2 linked regions of the Drosophila melanogaster genome follow. The protein of the gene in region 2 interacts with the protein of the main gene of each other region in a pairwise test. Each region holds a gene or a part of one and is shown on either strand. Other genes may lie near its edges.

Region 1 (8,764 bases), on a different chromosome or scaffold from region 2:
TTCGTAATTATCAAGTGCAGCGTTCAGGAGGAACAACGGCAGTGGATCGCCCCTTTTACAGAGCCGCTGGCAGGTTGCGCATGCGACCACACAGCATTGTTGCTCAGCGAAGCACCGAAATGGACCTAAACCCCCGATTTCGCTTCTTCGAGGGCAACGGACGCTTGTGCAACTGCCACTGGCTCAACGAAAGCCCCGAAAATCATCAATGTCTGTTGTTGTTGAGATACCGAGAGTAGAGAATACACACTGCTTAGCACGCGACACTTAATACCCATTCATTACACATGCACCAACGACGATGAAGTTTTGCCAAGTAGCTAAGTTTGTTGACCTGACCATCAAGTGCAGCTTTCACACCCTCATATAACTACTTAAAGAAAATATAGAAAAATGGAAATTAGTTTTGCAATTTAGGGGACTGCCGAACTGCCACCGTTTCCACCTGACGCTGCGCCATCATATCAGGCTCTAAAAATCAACACACCATGTTCAAACACACGACTAGCATACAGGAGCAGGAGCTACAGTAAATTTGAACCTTGTATTCGCATGTTCGCCAATGTTCATAGTGTATTCTTCAAGCTCATTTTCTAACCAAGTTACCAAGTTCAATATGATGAATAACTACAAGATTAGCAAACAAATACAAGTAGCATATGCGTTATTATATAACATCGAGTACTATATACATTACATGAAATACAAAATGCAAGAAAAATTACTTTTAAACAAAATTTATGTTGAATAAAAAACAGTATTTCCAAAAACTAAACTTAACTGTATAACAACTTCCTTTTGCAATGTTCTAATGATCCTAAAAACAAGACATGGGGTAAACTATTTTAAGAAATTCAATCTAGGACTTCAAATAAGTCTTAATTAAGTACACCCATATTCTTGATCAGCAGAGTCAACTTGCTCATGTTTGTATGAAAACCTAGAACATAAAAAAGCCAGAAGGTCTGGACTAAACTCGCAGATTCCTGTAACTTGGAAGCACCACGAGTTTGCTTTAGAAGATGCCTTTCCGTTGAACTAAAACTAGACGAGTAAAGCGTATCTCAAACATTGTATCTTCCGAACCAAAATAGTGCTGCATACTTTTCGGGATATGTCTTATTCAATGTAAGTAATACAAAAAGAAAAAAGGTAACTTCTTAAAACTTGTAATATTTGTCACAAATGAATGACGACTAGATTTGGCCATGTCTGTAACAATAAACGTACAAAATATTCGAAGTTGCAGAAATGGGGATCCAGCATTCGGATTTGGTTTTTTGTCAAACTTTTAAATATAGAATCGGACCACATCTTTTTAAGACCTTAAAAAACTGATTTGAAGTTAGACCCCTCATAATGCCAACTAAATTTGTTAAACAAAAATATGCCCCTATATGCCAATCAAATTTAAATACAATGCTTTCTCAGCGTTTCAGTTAAATACTTTGGGTTGTTTAATGGTTTTATACGTATACATGTGCTAAGTCCATGTATCTTATATTTCGTAAATCCATAGATTTTGTTCGACGAAACTTTGCTAAATGATATTGATCTTTCAAATATAACTTGTTAATTTCCTTTCATCGCCGTGGCAAATCCTTCGAGAGTGAGTACTACTTGTTAAACGCATATATGAGGAAAATTTATTGATGAATAATGCGAACATGCAAACGGAACACATCCCCGAATTCACACAAAGCATCTCTGTGGTATCTCTTTTGGTTTTTTATTTGTTGCATCAACTCCGCGGAACTCCAGCTACCTCACTGCAGGTCGTAGTAGTCGACGTTATTGGCGGTCAGATGTTCTCTATTAATTTGGAGCGTGCTGCTGTTTCCACTTCAAACTTTTATTAACATATATAGTATGGGTTTGCCGGTATATTGCAAACGGGAACTAAGTGTAGATTCGTGAATGATATCAGACTGGACTGCAAACGTTTAGTTTCTAGCATGTTTTTTTTACTCTCTCCTTTATTTGTTGGAATTTTTGAGTTTTATATAGGTGGAGTTTTCAAAATGACATTAATTCATAGGGGTGAGTTTTATATATAGTTCGACTGGCTGTTGCAGGTGCTGGTTTCGAATTTTTGGATGGGGATGCTAAAGGGCGGCTCCGTTTGTGTTCATCCTCATTTAGCCATCAACCAAGTTCTTACTCGCCATTCTTTTGTTCGTCCTCAGATTCGGATTCTGAAAGAGAATAGAATACAAAATGTTAGTATGGGGGCTTCAATTGGTACAAACTGAAAAGATGTGCAGCTCCGGTTATGCTGTCCAAATGATTATTGGCCAAATTTAACTATGGAAAGTTATCTGGACACCCAACCATTCAAATGCTTTGGCACAACTCCCCGCTTGGCTCAATCGAATGAAGCAACCATTCGGAGCTTTTATGAGGGGATTGTGCATGCGGACTAGGACAAATGCAGCTGTCCAAACGATTATTGGCCAAATTAACCACGGCATTGGGTTATATGGGCACCCAATCATTCTTTCGCTTTTGCATACTGTACATGAACCCTTTAAAACTGGTTCCTAATAATGGGAACACTTTAAAAGCTTGGTAAGAAGCATGCTCGGTGAAGTCAGCTATTTGTGTCCAAGTTTTCATTGGCCTTTGATGCTCGGATTTTGTGAGGCAACAAGGCAAGCAAAAACTCAAATGCTCTTGCAATTTTGTACAATGAAAATGTCATCCAGGACAAGACCATTCTCAAAAAGTGCACTGTGTAAAGTTTCGAAGGAAGCAAAATTTGAATATTTATATTGTCCAGGTTTTCATTGGCCTACGTTGTTCAGTGAATGGAAATCAACGAGGCAAGCAAAAAACCCAAATTTCTCTTGCAATTACGTACCAGAATCAAGCTATTTAAGACAAGACCATTCTCAAAAATTGCACGCTGATAACATTTATCAAAACATACTAACCTTCTTCGGCTGACTGAAGCCATTCGACAAACTTTCGCATTTGTTCAAGGAAATGCATTTTGCCCTTGTTTGAGTGGCCCTCCTTGTACCAGCGCAAGATGATCTCCTCGGACAGGACCTCGGTCTTGTAGAACAACAAAATGATTTTCTGGAAGGCCTTCATGAAGTTCATGTTCTCGTAGCAGAATTCCTGCACCTTCAAGATTAGGGCCAATTCCGAACGGTCGGTCGAGGCGAAAGCCTGCAACAGTGGGCAGTAGTTCTTCAGATGACGAACAGCCTGATCGGTAACCAGCTCCTCCTTCTTGTTCCATTCGCCCAATGACATGATGGTGGACCAAATCTGGTAAAGATCATACATGAGATTTAGTAAGGAAATCATCCAGTTGGATTATTTACGCATCGACTTACAATAACAATTATTTCATGATCGGGAATGTTGGTGCGCTGCGAGAAGTCCTTAATGTCTGAGGTTATCTCATTATATGGCTTCTCATCGTTGATATCATCGATGAGCGCCTGCTGCAACTCACGCTTCGCCTCCTGGCTAGCCTGAGCCTTATGTAGCTTGACGATCTCGTTAAGTTCTTTGTCAAGAAAAACTTGTTTAAAATATTCCTCAGTACGTTTGTTCGGTGGGAAAAAGTCCATAAGTCTGGAAAAACGTGAAAAAGTGGAACCATTATTAATAATTTAAGTTAACGCATTCAATAATCAACCTTAAATGACGTATTGAGGTGTACGAAATTAAATCAGCACCCAAATGAAGCGAAAGGTCATTTGCGAATTGGGTAAAACTCCGTCGAACTTTCTTACTCTAGGAATATCAATTAAAGATGCACAACTGGATCATTGAGTCATCTTCCTGAGAACATTCCGGGGCTAAAAACAAATCACAACTAAAAACTTACTTGCTTTCCAGTCCACCCTTCTTAAGCGCCTGAATCAGATATGCAATGCCCTTCTCTTGCTTGAACGTCTGGAACAGCTCTAGTAGAAACTCCAATGCAATGCCATCCTTGATTAGGTGCTCGTTGTTTAGTACCAGTAAAACATTTGGCGGTACAGAACCGTTGACTGTTGATCAAAAATAGGGTTAAATATAGGGTTAGTCAAATGTTTTCGCAAAACAAGTTTAGACGGCCGGCTAGCAATCCTGTCCTTGGGCTCGTGGCCCTTAGATGTGGTTAGTTCATCCAAGAGTCAGTATACCAAGTGAAGGATTACTTTAGCCCCTCAGCTGCAAGTTGAACAAGTGTTTATCGAAACAACTAATTGAAAGACCGAATGGGCAGACGCAAGCAATGCACAGGAGGAACAGGAACATAAATGTTAAGACTTACCTAACCAGAGCGCTGTCATACGCGCAAGCTTGATGCGTTCACTAGGAGTAAAGCCCTTTACGAATAATAGAACCTTTCCCATCTCCTCTTCGAACATTTTCTCAAGGTACTTGTACCGTCTGATGAGCTTGACAAATACCTGGAAAAGGTAAAGTGTGATTGCCCCTGTTAGCGGATGGTGAAATTTTACTGTGTTCTCACGCAGGAGGCTTTTGTATTTGTTGTTGCAACATTAGAAATCTTTAGATTGCTGGCGGTAGTAATTTTACAAAATAAAGACAAGTAAAATGTGGCTTTTTATTTTGCATATTTTGACACCGATTGAGTTGTTGAGATGCATAACCGGTTCTAATAATATGCACTTTGATTCAATAGCGTGACCTTCGCAGTGGTTGCATGCATATAGTATATATATATAGTGTTGAATAAAGAGTAGTTGTTGACACATAAGAAATCTTCAGAACGTTAGTGTTTAGGACAAACCAAAGACAAGTAAATGTGTTGATTGTTATTGCATATTCTTGACACCGATTACATTTTTGAAACTTTATAGTCAGCTCTAATGATATGCAGCCACTTCACGAATTTCATACTTTTAAGTGGATCCGAAGAAAATCATTTAGTAGTAAATAAACGTTTTAGCTTGGAAAACAACAAGAGCTCAACTTGTGTTGCAATCAAACCAATTTTCGTTTACTCATAATCATAATTTAAGTATGACCTGCTAAAAGATTACAAACCTGCTCATGGTTGCGCATGCTCTCCATGCTCTCGGGCGCATCGAAGATGCAGTAGCTTGTGCGCGGCTTTTCGCCATCCTGAGATATAGAACCACCAGGCACTGCAATTGAAACGAGGATGGAAAAGGGTCAGTGAAGAGACTAAACACATTACTTGCAGCGGAAAACTTACCTAGTAGACCTCCTGCAATCAATATGTCAAAGAGAACTTCACCGTAGCGACGATAGTCGAGCTTGTTGCCCGCGCTGTCTAGATATTTAGAGATTTGTTCCAGGTCGCCTTCAGTTTTTTCGAGACCAGCAATGACCGCATCACGGAATCCCGTTGGGTCATATTTTTCTCTTTCATCTCTTTTTCTGGTCTTGATGCGTTGACCCGATAGCACTGGTCTTTCAGTTTTTTGACTCATACAATAAATTGCTGCAAAGGTAAATGTGGATCAGAGATGGAAGCGGTTTTGGTTTGCCCCTGTAAGTTTTTATTTCTGACCAGACTAAATTATCATGGCCACTAGATTCATTTTTAGATTTATCTTAATTTTAGTGTAAGATGACTAAGGTGGTCTCCAAGCGGTGGAAAACCGTTCCCTGTATATGTATTCTCGTTGCGCTCATAATCAAACTACAACATTTTCACCTATGACCGGCGTTTAAGTGGAAACTCTAGTGAAAACTGAGCCTAAGAAAGCCTTAACCTAAAAATGCCAGCGTACATGTGCTTTAAACACACACATTCAAGAGCGGAGAACGGGCACACTTCACATCTCTTTTTAATTATCTCTCTTTTTCACACACACATACCCACTGTGCATTTTACAGTTTGATAATGTCGACAAAAGAAATAAAAAGAATTGAGAGGTGAGGCGACCAAGAAATCGACATAGAAACGCAGAATAAAGTGAAATTTTGACGTGGTTACTTGTGTTAGGTAGCGCGCTGGGGAAATGAGGTCATTGTGCATGTAGTGCACATAAAAACGCGCCGATGACTGTGTGCTAGTTGGCCGGGAAAATTGTCATAGCAGCGAAAACGCAAAAATTAAATTATCTAGGCTATCAAGTACACATTGGTACATATAAGGAACGGCAACTTACGCTTTCACCCAAGGATATTAAGTCTGGCCCTGTGTTTGCCGCTTCCGCGTGTCCTTGCAATCAATTGAAATCAGTCGTGTGCGAGTGTAGTGTGTATGTGTGTGTGTGTGTGCCTGTTGCTTTTTCACAACTAACGAACGTGCGAGAATATGTAATTTAATTTAACCTCACGAAGCGCTGGCTGGTTAATGCTTCTCACTCGAGTCGACGAAAAACAAAGAGACAGATGGCAGATCCCTTCTTTTCTTACCTCTCTTTTCTTATGAGCGAGCTTTTGCACGGTAAAATTGACACGCACGCACACACACAACAACAAAGAAAAGGGGAGAGCAAATAGAAAATATAATTTTTTGTAACGGAATTTACTTTTATGCCTTCAAAATAAACGTTAACAATTTTGCTCAGACTACGTCCGGAATTCTATTTTTAACAGCTATCACAATCGGTTACTAGGTATATGTGTTGTTTGCCTCGAATCCAGCGCCCCTCTGCTCGCACCACTTTGTTAAACGAAATTCGGAGAGCGAATGAGACGACACACGAGCGCACGAACGAAGCGGACGAGCCGAGAACGAAGACATGTGGTTCGGCGCCATTTTGAAGCGATACACTGACATGGCGAAAGCGGAATGATGGGCACAGGGAAAACGAAAATTAGGGGGAAACGGTGAGAAAAAATGTGGGATGGGGGTTCAAAGTGTGTATATTGCTGTCGCGCTTATTAAATAATGAGCAAGGTACAGTCGAACAAAGGCCGACGGCCACCAAATGATTTTTTGCATGAATATATGACTGCCCGATGACTAATCTGGCCTTAGGTACGCACGCAGTTCGTACATAACCCCTTTTCCAACGAAAGCGCAGACAAAGGATTGGTCAAGGCCAGAGAAATGACCAGGACCGCGATTTTACTCGCCCTATTTGTCTTTCTGTGTACTTAGGTCTACTCTAGCGCTATTTTTCACTCCTATACTTACGATTAAAACAAAAAAATCTGTTTTGCTGCGAATAAAAGTAACTTTTTGCGTAGCTGTTGGGCTGCTTCTTCTGGATGACTTGCGGTATGACCGTGGCCTGCTTCGTACGCAATGGTACAGAGCTCACTAAGGTGTCCAAAAGGTGGCAACATTTTGGTGAAGCTGTTGGCTGGCCCCACTAACCGGACCTGAAAATGGTGCAGCGCTGCCGGACATTTAACGGAATCAAAGATTCCACAAAAGTCATGTTTGCATTAACAAAATTCATATTTAACCTTAACAAATTCAACAAATTAAGTTAAGTCCATTTTAGTAGCGTTGCGAGGAGTTTATTTTCGAAAATACGCCTTTGTATATATTATATATTTTTCCTCCACTTTAAACAAAATCGAAAGGTGTCCATTTGTCAGCTATTTAAACAATATGGCATCGCCGCCTTACTTGCTCAGTAAGAAAATTTAACTGTTTTTTTTTTGCGCACCTGAAAGCGGCGATAGACATTGTTTACTTTTAGTTTATATTTACATTATCCAAAAGCCAAATGAACTTTGAGCAGGTCAATATACCAGAGAAACTAGTGCCGGACAACTATTTGCAACTGGGACTGGCTGCGCAACGCAGTAAGCAGCGCAGTTTTAAGGAGCTGCTCGAAAAGGTAATCAAACCGAAATTAAACCCAAATTAATTGATAACTCCATGGATAATTCTTCTTTTCAAGCGAAAGCTTCCGAAAAATGGTTGGTCCGATGAACGTATCGAGGAGCTGGTGCACATGCTGGCTTCCTTGGACAGCAATAACTATCCACATAAGGTCGGTTTAGGAGAGCGGGAGGCGCGTATAGCCTGCAGTAAGTAAGGGATCAGGAGGCGATATCCCCCGTAATGAATTTGTCATTCAGAACTCGTGGCTCGCCGTCACTACAACTTCGGTCATGGTATCGGCAGATCTGGAGACTTACTAGAGGCACAACCCAAGGCAGCTGGCTCTACGCTGCTCGCTCGTCTCACAAACGCCCTGATTCTGGACCTTATTCGGGGAATCGGACTGCCCAGCTGTGCTGGCTGCTTTTTGGTGCCAATGTGTACAGGCATGACATTGACTTTGTGCCTGCAGAGTCTTCGCAAGCGGCGACCCGGGGCGCGGTATGTGCTCTGGTCCCGCATCGATCAGAAGTCCTGCTTCAAGGCCATCACAGCAACGGGCTTGGTGCCGGTAGTCATCCCCTGCCTTATTAAAGGAGAGTCCCTGAACACGAACGTAGATTTATTCCGAGAAAAGATAAAGTCATTGGGAGTGGATAGCATCCTCTGCCTGTACACTACCACCAGTTGTTTTGCTCCACGAAACAGCGATGACATTGCCGAAGTATCCAAGTTGTCCAAACAATGGCAGATTCCCCATCTGGTCAATAATGCCTATGGATTGCAGGCAAAGGAAATCGTTAATCAGTTGGAGTGCGCCAATCGAGTCGGACGCATTGATTACTTCGTTCAGAGCAGCGACAAGAATTTGCTGGTGCCAGTGGGTAGTGCCATTGTGGCCAGCTTCAATGAGAGTGTGCTCCACGATGTGGCCAGTACTTATGCTGGGAGAGCTAGTGGTTCCCAGTCACTAGATGTCTTGATGACGCTACTCTCACTTGGGCGCAATGGCTTTCGATTGCTTTTCGATCAGCG
Region 2 (6,430 bases):
TTGTTTTTGTTAAATTAGGGTCTTTCTTATCCAGAACTCGCATTTTGGTGTTGATTGTTAACTTGAGTATAATCTACAGTCTCGTCGCCTTTATTATGGAGAACTATATGATCTCCTTCGAGACCTACGTTGAGGTTTGGTTTAATGTGCCTTATTCCTAATCTGCGCACTTCTAATTCTTTATATATTCTATTAGGCTGTTTTGCTTACCTTTCAATTAAGCGTTGGTGTGGTTAAGATGTTTCACTTTCAGAACAAAGTGGAATCGTGTTCCCAACTAGTGTTTTCTACGGAGACTGGAGAGGTATTAAAGTCCCTGGGTCTTTTTCAATTGGGTAAGACAGTAGAGTCAGTGATATCTGTTCTTTAATATGTTCGAAACATTTCAAAAACAGATTTGCCGAGAAAAAAGGAACTGCTGAGCTCAGTTAGTTTGATTTTGCTTAACAATTGGATGATAATCGATCGTCAGGTGATGTTCTTCTTCAAGATCGTTTGCATGCCTGTTCTATACTATTGTGTGCGACCATACTTTCAATATATCTTCGATTGCTATATCAAGGACAAGGATACCTGTGAAATGACCTTGAGTAGGCAAACTAAGGGTACCACTTCAACATTCTGATTTAATTAATATATGTATATTACAGCTTACCCGGCAATTGTGCCTTATTTGCAATTGGGAAATTATGAATTTCCTTCCTATGTGATTCGCTTCTTTTTACTTCAATCTGGTCCTCTTTGGTGCTTTTTTGGTGGGTCTGCTAAGTTATTAACTTGAATAATAATTAAAAAACTTTTCCCTTAAGCCGTTTTTGGCTTTAACAGCCTTTTCGTGGTCCTTACCAGATATGAGTCTGGTCTGATAAAAGTCCTAAGGTTTCTGGTCCAAAATTCCACCTCGGATATCCTGGTTCCCAAGGACCAAAGAGTTAAATATCTTCAATGTTGCGTGAGGCTTTTTGCTCGCATATCAAGGTGAGAGGATAGACTTCTTAAAACTAACTCTTCAAACCACTTTTCATTTAGCCATCATAATCAAATTGAAAACCTCTTCAAGTATATCATCCTGGTTCAGTGTTCCGTTAGCAGTATTTTGATCTGCATGCTGCTCTACAAGATCAGCACGGTTTTGGTGAGTTGATTGATAAGCTATAGAATTTACAAATCTTTTTATTTAAAAATTGTTTCATTAGGAAGTGGGCTGGGTGTGGATGGGCATGATTATGGTCTACTTTGTGACCATAGCTCTGGAGATCACTCTGTACAACGTGAGTGCACAGAAGGTGGAGAGCCAGGTATATTATATTGTATAATTTCAATTTTTATGTAAGGAATTATTGTATTTTTAGAGTGAACTGCTGTTCCATGACTGGTACAACTGTAGTTGGTATAATGAGTCAAGGGAATTCAAGTTCATGATCAAAATGATGCTGCTTTTCTCACGCCGAACTTTTGTTTTAAGCGTGGGTGGGTTTACAAGTCTCTCCCACAAGTTCCTAGTGCAGGTATTGTATTGAAATTGTCTTTTATTTCATACCATATTAAGATTCCACTTTCAGGTCTTTCGGTTGAGTGCAAACTTCTTTCTGCTCCTGCGCAACATGAACAACAAATAGGTTTCCTAGTACTTACTTGGAACTATTTCGTTATTGCGGTTACGGATTCGATAGTAACTTGCAGTTATTAAAACAGAGTCGTGCAGTTTTGTTCATAAAAATAACAATTTCTATTTATTATATCGTGTTCTTTCTACACTTTCAAGCTACGCCTGAGGCCTATTGCTCCTCCTCTTCGTCGTCATCTTGATTTGGCTGCACACTGCCCTCCACATCGAAGAAGGATTTTCTACTGCGTTTGGCCGCAGTGGCCGCTTGACTGCCATCGAATTTGGCTGCCGTTCGCTTGCGAAGCTCCTCCACGTCCTGGTTGTCGTCGTTGGCGCTCCACTCAAGCACCAAACGACGACCGTAAAGATGCGTACTGGCGCTTAGGGCGTCGAAGGCGCGTTTGGCCTCCGCCTTGGACATGTAGTCAACGAAACCGAAACCACGATGCGCATCCTCGCCCGTGGTCGCCTTTTTAGGAATACGTAAGGATCGCAGTTCGCCAAAAGCCCTAAAAGCACGGATTAGAATTTTTCCTAACCGGTATGACCTATACGTACTTGAATATATCTCGAACCTCGCGGTATTGTGCCTGGAAGGGAATATTTCGCACCAGGATTTTGGTTCCCGTTTGCTTCTTCTGTGAGGCCAGTCGACGTTGTGCGCCATCATTATCTTGGGTTCTGGAAAAGATTATCCCATTAGCAAAGAAAAAGTAAAGTTCGGTTTTCCGAGGCTTACTTGAGCACACGATCGCTGCGCTTCAGTTCCACGGGATTACCATCTATGTGGGTGAGCTGCAAGTTCTTGAGAGCGTGCTCTGCCACTGAGGACTTCTTGAACTGAATGAAGCCGTAGCCAAGGGACTTGAATTCCCGGGGATTCTCGGGATCCCTTCGCTTAGCAATTTCAACAGTGTGAATGCTACCCAAATGGCGGAAGTGTTTCTCAACGGTTTCCTGTACGGTTTTAAAGTTAAGGTTCCGTAGAAATAGTGTTGTATTCGGTTCGGGTTCATCATCGGCATCCTCTGCCCTAGAATCCTCCTCGTCAGGTTTCGCATCATTTACAATCGGTTTCTCCTCTGGCTTTACCTCCTCCTTTGGTTTCGGTTCCGATTTGGGAATCACTGGCTCTCCACTAAGGGTCTTGGTAAAGACCTGCTCGGGAGCCCACTCCAAATAGAGTGGGGCATTCTTGAATTTACTGTAGGCCAACTTCTTGAAAGCTTGCCTCGCCTCCAAAGGATCACAGTACTCGATAAGTGCCGTAACCCCACTGGGAGGAAGCACAATCCTGCCAATTGGGCCAAATCGACTAAAGATGGGGGTAATCTCTGAAATCTCTGTGGCCGCTGGCAAATTCTTGGCTAGTATAACAGTGTTAGAACGTTTCTTTGCGGGCTCATCAAATGCATCAAGACGAACGCCTTCTTCCTCCAGGAAGCGCTTCATCTCGATGACGACTTGGGTTTCTCCCAAAGCCAAGCGCACGGCGGCACTACTGCCACCATCGCTTGTGTCCAGGATGCGTTCCTTTGAGGTCTTGAATTGCTTGGCGAGAATTTCTGCAACAGCATTGGCACCCAGAAACAATGTGTTCCAGCCAATTGGTTTTTGGGCGTTCTTCTTGAGTTTCAAGGCCTTCTTTTCTTTGAATGACAGACTGGCATCGTTTTCATCCAAATCCTCTTTCGGATTCTTTTCGATGTCCTTGCTGGGCAGAAGGTGCAAGAGACGGCCATGGAAATCAGTGCCATCGAGGGTATTAAAAGCCTTTAATGCGTGCTCCGGCATCATGTACGTAACTGTACCAAAGCCCTTGATTTTTCGCGTTAGCTTGTCGAGGGGCAAGTTAACCTCCACCACGGGACCGAACTGCTCGAAAAGCTTGCGCAGATCCTCTTCGGTAGTAGTGTATGCTAGATTACGAAAGAATATCCTCCCGGACTCGGAGATGTCATCTTCTTTGGATAAACTGTCCTGCTGATGCTTCCACTTCGCATTGCCCGCATCGACGGCGGCTGGTGCCAATGGTTGTCCACTCTTGCTCGCTTTGGTCACCTTGTTCTTCTCTGTAAAGTCGGAGAAGAATACTTGCTTGCCCTTGATGAAACTCTTGTTTTTAAGCATTCCCTTGGCCATGTCTTTCTCAGTTTTAAAACCCACGTAGCAGAAGCCGTGAACTTTGCTGGGCAGCCGAACGGAGTACGGTTTCAGGGGCTTGAAAAACTTTAGCACCTCCTGGCGCTTGGTGTTGTATGGTACATTGTGTATTTTAATGGTGAACAGCTCCAAATTTGATTTATCCGCCTTGGCTTTGGGTTTCTTTGCAGTAGCTTCGCCGGATGTGGTTGCCATCAGGGATTTCATATACTCAAGATCGCTGATGGGCTTTTCGGCCAGTTTATCGGTGTCTTCTTCCTCATCTGCCTCATCGCCTGAGCCATCCTCATCTCCTGCATCTGCATCCACTCCACTGTCATCTCTGGCAGCTCGAGATTCTTCCTGTTCCTCATCATCCTCTTCTTCGTTCTCCCGATTTTTATTTATACCCAAATCGTTTCCCCACAGCGTTCGCGACTTGTCATGCGCCTCTAGAAACTCTTGGAATTCCGGATCGTCTTTGTGTCTGCTCAAAATTTGGTCCACCTTGTCAACTTTATCTTTCTTCTTCTTTTTCTCAGACTCCTTAGCCTTGGCAGCCGCCTCCCTTTCCTTCTCCTTCAATTTGTCTAGGTTCTTCTTGCTGTCCTTGGCGTACTTGCTCCAAGATTGTGGCTTATCTTCGCTGCCCAAGGCAGCACAGGATTCGACGCGCACCCGGCTGGTCTGAATGCATGTGTTGTCAAAGTGCCGGATGGCCGATTGGGCCTCCTCCTCGGTGCTGTAACCCACGAAGCAAAATTGCCGAAACTTTCCATCGGGCGTGTATTTTAGTTGCAGATCCGTAATCGTGCCCTGGGCACCAAAAATCTGACGCAGTTTGTCTTCGGTGATCTACAATTTCAGTTTAAGTAGATGCTTTTTTTTAACAAGTCTACATACTCACATGCTTGGGCAGCTGTTTGACTATAATTCGTGACATCTTTTGTGGCTAATTTGTCGGTCTGCAGCTAAAAACTCATTTAAGAAAACTTTTGTTTACAAACAAATTGAAACAACACGTGCATTAGATATGCAAAACGAGCGATAGTAGCATCAGTAGTATCGAAAGTCGAAATTTGTATACTATCGAAAAGTCTATCGTTTCATCGACTCTACTTTACGTTACATTTTACATGTAGATATTCAAATTTATATATTTTTTAAGTTGTGTTTCGATTATAATGGGTGATGGCAAATCAAAGCTGAATGAAAAAGTAAAATAACCTCGACTTCAAAACGTCACTTCGCTTGAGCATCCTTATATTTCCCCAGTTCAAGTTTAAAGGGTGGATTTTTACAAACTTACAACGTTGGAAAAGTTATATTTTGAAAGGAAACTCTTTAAGCGACTTATACACAAAGATACATGGTAATTGTATTGGCACATTAAACGTAGATGACAAATATGTTAATATATAAGTGTTTAGAATAGACTTCAGGTGGAGCTACGGTAGAGATATAGATATGCGATTGGATTGTCGGATTGTGGGAGTACAAGGTCTTGTGTGTTTCGTTTAGTGTCTCATTTTTAACATATAATACAGTCCGTTGCTGGCTTGAAACTGGTGAAGCACAGTTGGCAGTTGATTCTCGATGTGGCCATCATCCATCCTCTTGTATCCGTTGTATCATTATAGTATATGGCATACAGTAGGCGAACGATGATGCGTTAAAGCTTAACGTTGCTCAGTTGGTCTCCTTTGTGGATCCTTGGATCCTTGGGCTGGGTCACTAAACAGAATATTTCGGCTAAGGCACTAAAATTACATAATTTCATTCAACGTCTACGTTCTATCATAAATCTGATTTGTTCGTCTCGTCTCAGATCTTCGTTCTTAGTTAAAATTGAAGTAGTTGTTATGGGAAGTGGGGTTGTTCGCAGAGCTCTAGGGTTCCAGGCGATTGCGACTGAAGCAGCTATCGGGGAGAGCCTTGGAAATAAGTCCAATATTCTGGACTTCATCCTTGAGCTCCCTCAGCTCGGCATCGTACTTGTCGATCAGATTCTTCTGAATGGTGCGCTGTTCCCGGTACTTTTCGATGCGTCCCGTCAGGTTGACGCGATTGATCTCACCCTCCACAGTGGCCAAACGATTCTCTGCGAGATTAATTAGATTACTCATAAGTAAATTCAGATTAGAGAGGTTTCTGTTTCTTACCCAATCTATCCAAATCGCCCGTGTTGATGTCCTTCAGATTCTCCAGCTCATCCTTGATGGCCGTCAGGTCGGCATTGGCCTTCTCGATCTGCTTCTGGGCCTCCTGGGTATCGGCCTTGGCCTGACCCACCTTTCGCTTGGCGTCGTCCACCAGATTGTCGTCCTTGGTCGAGCTCTCCTCCAGCTTGAAGATGTCCATTTCGGTGAGTTTCACGCGATGATTCAGTTGGTCGGCCTCTTCGCGCAGATTGCGGGCAGCCACCTTGGTCTCATTGGCTTTGCGGCGGATCAGCTCAGCATCCTGTCAAGAAATTTTACGAATTTAGTAAGGATAATAAGATGTCCCTGAATGACTTACCTTGGAAGCCTGTTCGGCATACTTCAGCTGCGCCTCCTGGGCATTCTTCTTGGCCTCGTTGGCATTCTTATTGGCTCCATCGAGAGCCTCCTCCGCCTGGCTGATCAGGCTTTCCGCATTCTGAATCTCCTTCTCGATGTTGGGCACCGTCTGCAGGGC

Evidence for each region.
Region 1: the proteins of CG3335 (region 2) and kra interact in a two-hybrid assay, tested with the Drosophila melanogaster proteins (one large-scale study listed by BioGRID).

The regions. Positions count from the first base shown.
Region 1 is NT_033777.3:5,593,928-5,602,691, forward strand, and holds kra (krasavietz), read right to left. Parts: upstream 7,210-8,764; 5' UTR 7,088-7,209; intron 6,645-7,087; exon of another isoform or gene 6,111-6,644; intron 5,647-6,110; exon of another isoform or gene 5,438-5,646; 5' UTR 5,427-5,437; coding exon 5,189-5,426; intron 5,118-5,188; coding exon 5,017-5,117; intron 4,851-5,016; exon of another isoform or gene 4,711-4,850; intron 4,640-4,710; exon of another isoform or gene 4,496-4,639; intron 4,416-4,495; coding exon 4,277-4,415; intron 4,231-4,276; exon of another isoform or gene 4,088-4,230; intron 4,011-4,087; coding exon 3,845-4,010; intron 3,813-3,844; exon of another isoform or gene 3,669-3,812; intron 3,589-3,668; coding exon 3,345-3,588; intron 3,277-3,344; coding exon 2,934-3,276; intron 2,905-2,933; exon of another isoform or gene 2,770-2,904; intron 2,732-2,769; exon of another isoform or gene 2,599-2,731; intron 2,583-2,598; exon of another isoform or gene 2,433-2,582; intron 2,414-2,432; exon of another isoform or gene 2,274-2,413; intron 2,196-2,273; coding exon 2,158-2,195; 3' UTR 1,437-2,157; downstream 1-1,436. Other genes in the region: SecS (Sec synthetase), read left to right, coding at 7,629-7,742, 7,806-7,935, 7,987-8,764. UniProt on the Drosophila melanogaster protein: May be involved in memory formation.
Region 2 is NT_037436.4:9,622,601-9,629,030, reverse strand, and holds CG3335 (uncharacterized protein), read right to left. Parts: upstream 4,795-6,430; 5' UTR 4,695-4,794; coding exon 4,659-4,694; intron 4,607-4,658; coding exon 2,349-4,606; intron 2,291-2,348; coding exon 2,168-2,290; intron 2,119-2,167; coding exon 1,779-2,118; 3' UTR 1,710-1,778; downstream 1-1,709. Other genes in the region: Or67b (odorant receptor 67b), read left to right, coding at 35-134, 197-335, 396-590, 651-755, 810-978, 1,030-1,135, 1,197-1,298, 1,353-1,508 and 1 more; LanB2 (laminin B2), read right to left, coding at 5,641-5,852, 5,914-6,214, 6,272-6,430.